Linked DNA regions of Schizosaccharomyces pombe. The gene in region 1 interacts genetically with each later gene. Each region holds a gene or a part of one and is shown in the gene's direction. Other genes may lie near its edges. The genes, in order: opa3 and mug4.

Region 1 (3,991 bases):
TTTTAGTTAAGTATATTTACAATTTAAGATTGACTGTAAAAACTACAAAAAGTTATAATTTTATATTAATTAACTTGAGTGAAGCCTTTGTCTGCACATATAATATATTTGTTTTGAAAACATATGAAATACTACGGAAAGTTAAGATACGCTAAACGAAATAACGATACTTAATATAATTAGCAGCATGATAGTAAAAGATTTGCCCGTGAGCATTCTTTGGGCTGTAGGGTCCCCCACTCCGCTGCGTTGGTATATGCGTAGACTGAAGCGAGCAACAGAACGTCCGCCATTACTGTGCATATACGATGAATCCAGAGTAGTAAGGATTTAGCATACTATTCAATACATCAGGAGCTAGAAATTAACAATTTATAGAGTATTTTCTTTCCAAAATTAAAGAATTCTTGTAAATTGGGCGATATAATTGCTAATCAATAGGTAATGAGTTTTTTTACCGTAAGAAGATGAATGCTAATATTAATAGATACGACTATCTCTTTAAGCTTTTACTTATTGGCGACTCTGGTGTCGGTAAGAGTTGCCTTCTTCTACGTTTTGCCGATGACACTTATACTGAATCCTATATCTCTACTATCGGAGTTGATTTTGTACGTCCGTTTTCAAGCAGCTTAACCATATTTATTGCTAACTTTTTTTAGAAAATCAGAACTTTTGAATTAGAGGGAAAGACTGTTAAACTTCAAATCGTAAGTGATAGTTTACTTCTCGTTGGCGTTCCGGGATATTTTTTTATTAACGATTTATCATAGTGGGATACCGCTGGTCAAGAACGTTTCCGTACAATTACTAGCTCATACTATCGTGGAGCTCATGGAATTATCATCGTATACGATGTTACCGATCAAGGTATGTAATGTGTGAAGTATGGAAAACCAATTTGATTGTCTTCCGTTTTCTGTATATGCGCGTATATGCGTTATAAGGCGTTTGGGGGATATTTTTATGGCGTTTTCTAGTCTTCACATTGTTTCCGACGCGGTTCCGAGGCTAATGCTTGCTTCTTAGATTCTTTCAACAATGTTAAGCAATGGCTTCAGGAAATAGATAGATATGCCGTTGAAGGAGTCAATCGTCTTCTTGTAGGAAACAAGTCAGATATGGTTGATAAGAAGGTTGTTGAATATTCTGTTGCTAAGGAGTTTGCTGACAGTTTGAATATTCCTTTCCTCGAAACGTCTGCTAAAGATTCTACAAATGTTGAGCAAGCTTTCTTAACTATGTCCCGTCAAATTAAGGAACGTATGGGAAATAATACATTTGCCTCTTCCAATGCCAAATCTAGTGTCAAGGTTGGTCAGGGCACTAACGTTTCCCAAAGTTCCAGCAACTGCTGCTAAACTACATGTTTGTTGGTTATACCTCTGAATGCGCTTTTAATATATTTTTATATACATACGTTTTACGTACTTCGCTGTCATTCCTTTTGTGAGTTTCATTCGCTGACGGTGAACTGCTAATATTAGGTATCTACTTTCTGAGTTTTTACGATACTTATAGAAAGTTATTTGTAGGTTTGGATGCATGCTACGTTTCCCTTTTATCAACGGTAGTTTAAAATCTTAAGCAAAGCTATGTAGAAAACTGCTAGTCTTATGTACTTTATTTTGTAGCGTGATATGATAAACTGTTGTAAACGTTGTATAATACGCGTATTGCTCATTAACTAGCACTTTACAGTATTCCCTAAAACTATAGTTGCTTGGAACTATTTGCATAACATACGGTTCGCTAACAAAAGTCATTAACTAAAAATCAAATATATAATAGTAAGTCAAAGGTTGAATGGTATGTACGTTACATTAAGAAATGAAAATACAACTGTACTACTAAGGACAAGTATTGATAACTGCGACACTAAAGTTTCTAATACAAGCAAAATATTAAGCACACACAGGGATCGGTGTAAGAAGGATTAGTAAACCAATCAGAGAAACCGACAGAATATGCATATCAAGTTCAGCAACATCAAATTTACTTTCCTCTTCCAATAACTTTTCTAATTAATAGATTAAAAAAATAAAGCACGCACTTGGTGTTGCGGTTTTAAATATTGCTATTGATTAACGGAAGAGTATATCTTCGACCTTGCATAAATATCCTAGCTATTGTTACACGCTTATATCTGCATTCTAATTTTATCGGAGATTTCTTTCTTTTATACCTCTATTTAATTGAGGTGGTAGTACTTTTAGTCGGTAATTTGAAATCCTTTGCGGGTTTATTCCCCCTCGAATATTTTTGAAGTTCTGGTATCCATTAACATTTCTCTACAATCCAATGTCTTCTCTAGCCTTAAAAATCGGAAGCTTGTTAGTAAGAACATTATCCAAACCGATTGCCAATACAATCAAAGCCCAAGCTAAAGAGCACAAGGCTTTCCGAAAGGTATAAATCAGTAAAATAGATGATAAAGAGAATCTTATAGCATTACTAACGAAATTTCTATATAGGCATGTATTGAATTTGCTCAATGGATGCATCGCGCGGAATTTAGAATAACAGGAATTAACAGAGCTAAAAGTGGAGGAGCTAATGTACGATTACGACCTTTAAACGATGCCAAAGCAGTCGATGCTGGTGCAACATTTTTATCAGAAACTTTTATATTGTATGAAAATTAATACGATTTGACGTACTTCCTCTCCACAATGCTTAATACGGCACATTGTGAAGGAGCTACGAAATCCAACTTGTCACAATGTTCTTCTCTTGCTAACAATTTACAGTACTGTTGCTGGAGGAGCCATTTTATTTGAAACATGGAGGGCTCGTAGAAAGGAAAAGAATAGACGAGATGAAGTTGCTGAAGCGATTCTTGGTTTACAACATGAAATCGTTCGTATTAACGAAATCATGGAAAAGCAGTTTGTTTTACAGAAGAAAAAGAATGAACTCCAATCTTCGACTGAGGAAATTGATAGTACCGAAAAGGATTTTGACGAACTCCACAAAGTCATTCTTAAAGTTGAACGTGAGCTCCATACTCTTCGTCAAAACACGCCAAGTCAGAACGAGCAAGCAGAAGCCACTCCTTCAAAGGAAATCCCACGTGAAACAGTCTCAGAAAAGGCAGATCATCCTCCATCTTCTAACACCAAATCGGTTTCTACAGGTTAGTGGATGGTGAATACTACGATTACACATAACTTGCATTAATGAGTAAATTTTGATACATTGCAGAAATTCATCTGTTCCCATTTCACCAAACTGATGTTTACTTTCTTTTAATTTATTGTACATTTGATACTTCGTTTAACCAGATCACATTTCCAAAATTAGTTACGGTTTATTTATAGCTTTTTTGACTTAATATCTACTGAGTTTTATCGCTCATTTTACAATACATTGCACTTCGTTATTTTAGATAGTTGGCTGTTAATATAATAATAGCCTAAGATTATGATCACCAACGTACGCCCCTTTCTGAGCGCGTGAAAGCTTCCCTTTGCGTTCACTTCCCCGCTGTGCTTGGTTTGTAAACTTAGCATCCTTTAGTTCAACTCAGCATGTCGCTGCTTCGTTGGATGGGAATGGTAATTCAATTGTTAGTTATGAATTGAAGACTGACAAACTATAGAATTCCCCAGGCTCCACTGACCGGCGTAAAAGCACTTGGGAAGCAGAGTTGCCGAAGCCATCAATTCGCCCTGAAACCCTAACAGATCGATTCTATGGTTTAACAAATGTAAGCATTTTTATTAGTTATAATTTCTTCTGCTCTAACATATTTTTAGTATGGAAATACATGGTATGGCGATCATACTTGTAGCGTTGCTTTTATGATTGTAAATTTCTAACGAAATAGTTACGTGAGTTCTGTCTTAGTATCTTTATACCATTTAAAGCCCTTTCGTGATTCTTTAAATTCGTATCCTCTTCCGAGTGCTCCTCCAAATTTTAAAAGCGTTTGTACAAAAACCAACCATCCTGAATCATCTTCCTCACGACACAGTAAGAAAAAGAGCAT
Region 2 (5,599 bases), on another chromosome or scaffold:
CCGATTGTTTATAGAAATAATAAAATGAATGTTATGATGTGAATGTATGAGTGGAATGTGGATGTGAATATGAATATGAATATGAATATAAAAGAAGATGTAATTAAAAAGTAGGATTTGGAATTTTTCACAACAAAAACTCGATTAACTGTAAATGTCGAGTCCTATTGTTGGTTAAAAAGAAAATTACTTAAAAGTCCTTTTGTAATAAATTCTACTCTTAAAAATTAAAACTGTTTATGCCTTATTATTACACATGTGTCCGACATGCCTTGCCTGTCCAAAATGCCTTGTCTACTATACTTTTCTATACTCAGTCTAACGCATTTACTTTCTCTGCCTGCAACCTTTCTGACCCGCTATAACGATAGTGACTGTATTCGTTTAAGCTTAGTTTCCGTGTTCCATCATCAATTGTTAAGCTTATTTCCGCAAATACACTCGCTCTCGCTATTTAAAGAATTTTCGGATTTTTTCGGTCTGCGCAGTAGCGACTATGAAGGCAGCAGAAGTACATTCCTACCGGAGAATGAGTTCCGTTGGTATTACACACGGAAGGCAAGTGACAAGGCTAGTGAAGGATGATCGATTGATCCTATTTCTCGGGTTGTAAAGGCCCCAAAAATAGAGTGTTACAAGAAAGTAATGGGCCTTGCTTTGTGCGTATTTTTGTTATTCAACATGAGTTTGCTATAGCATGAATTTTCTCTGAAATGCGCATACTAAATTGCAAAACTTGTTTGATAAAAGTGCAATACACTTATCATAACGATGTTGATGAGTAAATGAATGTTGCGCATCACTTGACAGTAGCAAAGTGCAATTATTGGTTTGCGCAACGTTGTTTTGTTCATTTCGCCAACTTTGCTTATTCACACCGGTTCTATGTTCAGGCATTTTGTTGGTCGTTGGTTACTAGAGGAAAAACTGTTGTTGTTGATACAAACAGAACCCAATTGTCCTTCAACCCAATCGTTTCTCAATGTTTACATGGTCAAGGTTTGTAGTGGAATAAATGGAATGGGCTGGGATGAAAGGAAATTAGCACGTGGAAGTGTAAACACATGATTTTTCAGCAATCCCGCTAATGTGATAGGCTTGGGTGAGAAGATGAAAGAGAAATAAAAGAAATAATCGTTCATCAATTCGTTCAACAGTTATAAAACAACCCGACCAGATAAAGTATTTGAAAGATTGGAGTCATTCAAGAAAGCGTAAGGATTCGAGATTGGAATCGTTGGAGAGATAGAAAACAAAAAAAAGTTTTGCTAAGCAACCATTGTATAAAATTTGAAAAAGAATTTTCCTTTGCTTTTTGTTTTTTTCACTTAGTACAAGTAAACAATCTCTTCCATTGAACCAAATCGTCCATCCTTTGTCAGCACGACCCTTTGCATCCCTCTCTATCCCTATAACGATAATCTTTCACTACGCTGTCCTTGTCTAGGATTTCTGTTGCTGCTAATCCTCGCTAAACATGCAATAGTATTAAAAGTTGTTGAATGACATCGTTATTTTACACAACGAATCATAGCGAGATCATCGCTGCTCATTGTCGTAAGCAGGCCAGGTGTGTTCATATTATAATTGTATCGGGTAAATGCAGCCCATGTAAACAAAAGAAATACGCTTAAAAGGGATTAGCTAGAAGAGAAAAAACCACCAGAACTAAAAACCAATAAAATAAAATAAAAAATCATTGTTTTTCTATTTCTTTCAGTTTCACCTTCTCGTTACTTCCTATCGCCTACTATCCATCTACCCACTGCCCACCTACCAATCTTCGGTCGGCCTCGTCTTCACCCACTTGTTTTTGTTTCATTCCCCCTGCATACACCCCATTTTTTTTATTCAATCTTTCTTTTCCTTTTCTTTTCTTATTTTTGGCTGTTTATTGCTGCTGTTTCCATTCCATCATCTGCTGGCTCTTTCTTTGTTTACATGTGCTATACTGATTGCTTCTTTGTCTTGCCTGATCTCCAGTACCACATCATTTCTTTCTTTTTACATCTCTTTTCTTCCTAAACCCATTTGTATGCAGCTCATGAAGTATTTCCTTTTTCCTTCATTATTCATTCATTACATGAAATAAAGTGCTCGTTTACCTGCTTTTCAATTCATTTGCTGATTTGATTTGCGCTTCTTTTTTATTTTTCACTATGACCCCACCGTCCTCGTCTTCTCATTTCCCTTCCCCTTCTAGCGCCAACAATGATTTTCATTCCTTAAGCCTTGAAGCGCATGGCTCCTTGTCCGACAAATTCATTTCTCAGTTTCGCTTAAACTACACAATTATACCCATTGCGCAAAAATCTAATATCTCTTTACCCTTCCTAACTTTGTCTCCATGCTCCTTCACCATCTGTTCTCTGCGAGCCCGTTTACATTCTCTGCATGGCCCATCCACAGTTTTTTTAAAGCGTGAAACTTCCCAAATTAGCGCTCGCGTAAATGACGAAAACGGTTTTACTGCATCTCCCAGTTTTTTTAGTGTTGATTGCTTCGACGAATTATTTCCTACTCTGTCGACTACCGATGAGCAACCAAAGGAACCATCTATTATTTCCATTTCCAGTAGTTCTTCTGACCCTAGTTCCTCCCCTCCTCCTTCTTCCTCCCTTTTAAAAACTCCCGACAATGATTTTTGTGCTCGGCCAGAAACGTTTGTAAAATCAGATACCGCCGATATAAAGCTACAAATACATCAGAATAATCTCGTTTTAACATTCCTGGATACAACGACTGTCTCGAAAGTAAACATCGTGCTAGAAATTCACATCCCAGTGCTTCGTGACTTTGTGACGTTTGAACAGTATATTCCTTTAATGTTTTTACCGTCACCATTTGAGACGATTCTTTCTTTTGATAATCTAAAATCGGACAGTCCCTCTTCTGACTTACATTTAGGTTGGGATCATACTGTTTCCAAAGAGTCAATGTCACAATCTATTGCTGAAGTCCTAAATCCTTACAACAAAGGTGTTTCTCGCTCTTTGAATGACGCTACTAACATGGAGACTTATCACTGGTCCCCTTTTCCTCCTCAATTTTCAACCTTTAATGATAATGCTCTTCGCCTTCGCATATACTACAAACCGAAATCTTGGCTTCCCAAAAATTCTAGTTGCTCGCTATCTGTAGACGTGAAAGCTACTTTGCTTGAGACTACCCCCCCATCATGCGAAGTATCCTATAATCTACTACTAACGTGTCGCTCCTCTAACCGTTTTCGCCTTTTTCCAGCTTCTACTCCTAACAGTAATGGTTTATGTCGAAACGACTCAAAGTGTCGGTTTTTAATGATACTTCCGGAAACCATTATTAAATCTCCTTCTTCTTTTATTGGTGATTCATATAATATTGCAAACATTGATCCACCAAGTATGTAACTTTTTTCCTCCTTTTCGCTATCAAACTACTAACACTTTTCCCGATAGGCTCTATGAACGTTCAATCGTCAGAATTTCGTGTAGGTGAAGTGCAGTCTTTTACTACAAACACATCATCCTTCGCATTCACATTCAAGGAAATTGTACAGTTGGGCTCCAAAGCTTCTGTACCCATGATTTTGTTCCCCGCCCCTTCTAACTATAAGCTAACGATAGAAAAACCTCCTTTCCCATGCGATTTAACAATACCTCATACTGCTATAAATGACTCTTGGCTTCCTATGAAGTTGAAAGAGACGAATGCAATTTCTTACTACAGAAAAACATGTTCCTCATGCAAGTATCCTTTCCAATTCTTTATTAATAAACTACCATTCTACCAAAGTCCCTCACTACCCTTGAGTGCTACTTATGTTTGGATTGCTTCTGCTCTTTTGTCAGTTCAGCCTGGGAACGGCTCCTTTAACATAATGCTTAGCCTGAAATTTGTTTCCTCAATGAAACCGGGAACTGAGCTGTTAACTATTAAACAACCAAAGTCTTCACTTTTAAACTGGGGGCTAGTTAATGGCTATCCTAAAACTGAAGGAAGAATTGTTCTTCTTCCTCGCAACGACATTGTACTAATTCAAGCTGATCAACCTACTTCGGTTTTTGATTTATGTTGGACTATTAAACCAACCTATGAAAAAAGCTCAAACTTTTCTTGCTTACAACTGCCAATTCCAGTTTTAAATACACCCATACTAACGCCAGTGACCATTAATATACAATCTACCACTTATTATCTAATTGGATATGCCAATCAAAATTCTAAAAAAACTCTAGATCAACCCACTAGCTTATTAGTACTCGGCTGCAAAGCTAAAAACGTTTCTGAACTAATACTATCTTATCTACCGGAAAAACCTATACCTGATGGTGCACCTATTGTAACTAATGTCGTTGAAACTAATAAAACCAATGAAGCACCTTCGAGTTTTCGAAAGTGTTTGCAGCAATTCCTAGTGTTTCTGACTTTTACGGGGATGACACTTTTTATACTTTATCAACTAACATTTCCTTATGGTGTCGCTAAAGACAACAGTTCATTTATTGATACTCCACTGCCTCATAGTTGTGAAATGGAAAAGAGTTTAAATGTATTACAGCATAAAGTTTTGCAACTGCAGGCAGTGAATATGAAATTACATGATTACTATGAAAAAGAACCAACTGAAATTTACAAAACCGTATCGGTTACTAGCACTCAAATAATGCCAGCTGTTACAAAAATGTCATCATTCGAACTTGAAAGGGAGCAATTTCATAAGGCATTTGGATTTTTACGGCTAAATAGGAAGAAAGATGACAATGCCAACTAAACATTAATTTTTTCAATCATCAGCACACTTTTTTAATCGTACATACAAAATGCAAATCTTTTGATTAAATTGAAATTTTTTATTAATGAATGTGTTGTTGCAAAACGACTTGGATTAACAAATCGAAAATTTTCTCATTTCATTACATTAGGCACTACTCACATTTTCTACATTTTGGGTACTCCACCAAACGTAACGTTGTCTGAAAGTACGAAGTTTAAATTGTACAATTAATTCCACAATATATTAAATATGGGTAAATCAAAGAAAGCAAAAGCTAAAAGAGCTGATTTTAATGTAAAATTGTTGTCGGAAATAGCTGTATTAACTGATTTTTTAGAAACAAAAACTCAAGGTGGGAAAATCAAAAAATGCACCAAATAATTTTACCGATACCTCATTCAGAACAAAAAGTATGAACAAAAGGAATTTTTATTCAAATAACTAACCTAAACATCTAGCGCTCGTACTTCCAACACAGGCAGCTTTAGAAAAGGAGGATTTCAATACAACAGCTAAGGATCAGGCGTACTTTGCACATCTTTTAGGAATGTTAAAGCATCATAATGCCAATCAACGGCAGGGTAAGAGAAATTTTCTATTAACTTATGCATCTTTTGCTAACATGTTAAAGAGACGTTGGAAAAGCTTACACAATATGTTTTATCTCATACAAGCATTTTGACGACGTCGACAGCGCTGCTGTTAAAGTTAACATCGCCTTTGATACTTGATGAATCCTCATCGGTACGAGATTGTCTATATCGATTTCTTGAAAAATTTATATATATAATGGGGCCAGAATTGCTGGAACCGAACATTGGAATGATATTTCTCTACACACAC

What was found.
Region 2: mutations in opa3 (region 1) and mug4 together harm fitness less than expected from each alone (positive genetic interaction), as found in Schizosaccharomyces pombe (one large-scale study listed by BioGRID).

What each region holds. Positions count from the first base shown.
Region 1 is NC_003423.3:2,932,681-2,936,671, forward strand, and holds opa3 (mitochondrial outer membrane lipid metabolism regulator Opa3), read left to right. Parts: upstream 1-2,010; 5' UTR 2,011-2,301; coding exon 2,302-2,409; exon of another isoform or gene 2,410-2,474; coding exon 2,475-2,632; exon of another isoform or gene 2,633-2,750; coding exon 2,751-3,141; 3' UTR 3,142-3,442; downstream 3,443-3,991. Other genes in the region: GTPase Ypt1, read left to right, coding at 309-319, 488-611, 663-710, 774-870, 1,030-1,361; ubiquitin hydrolase Ubp9, read left to right, coding at 3,531-3,557, 3,602-3,709, 3,759-3,772, 3,830-3,991.
Region 2 is NC_003421.2:805,416-811,014, reverse strand, and holds mug4 (protein mug4), read left to right. Parts: upstream 1-2,159; coding exon 2,160-3,381; intron 3,382-3,437; coding exon 3,438-4,753; 3' UTR 4,754-4,939; downstream 4,940-5,599. Other genes in the region: rRNA processing protein Ipi1, read left to right, coding at 5,006-5,050, 5,094-5,166, 5,215-5,337, 5,388-5,599. UniProt on the Schizosaccharomyces pombe protein: Has a role in meiosis.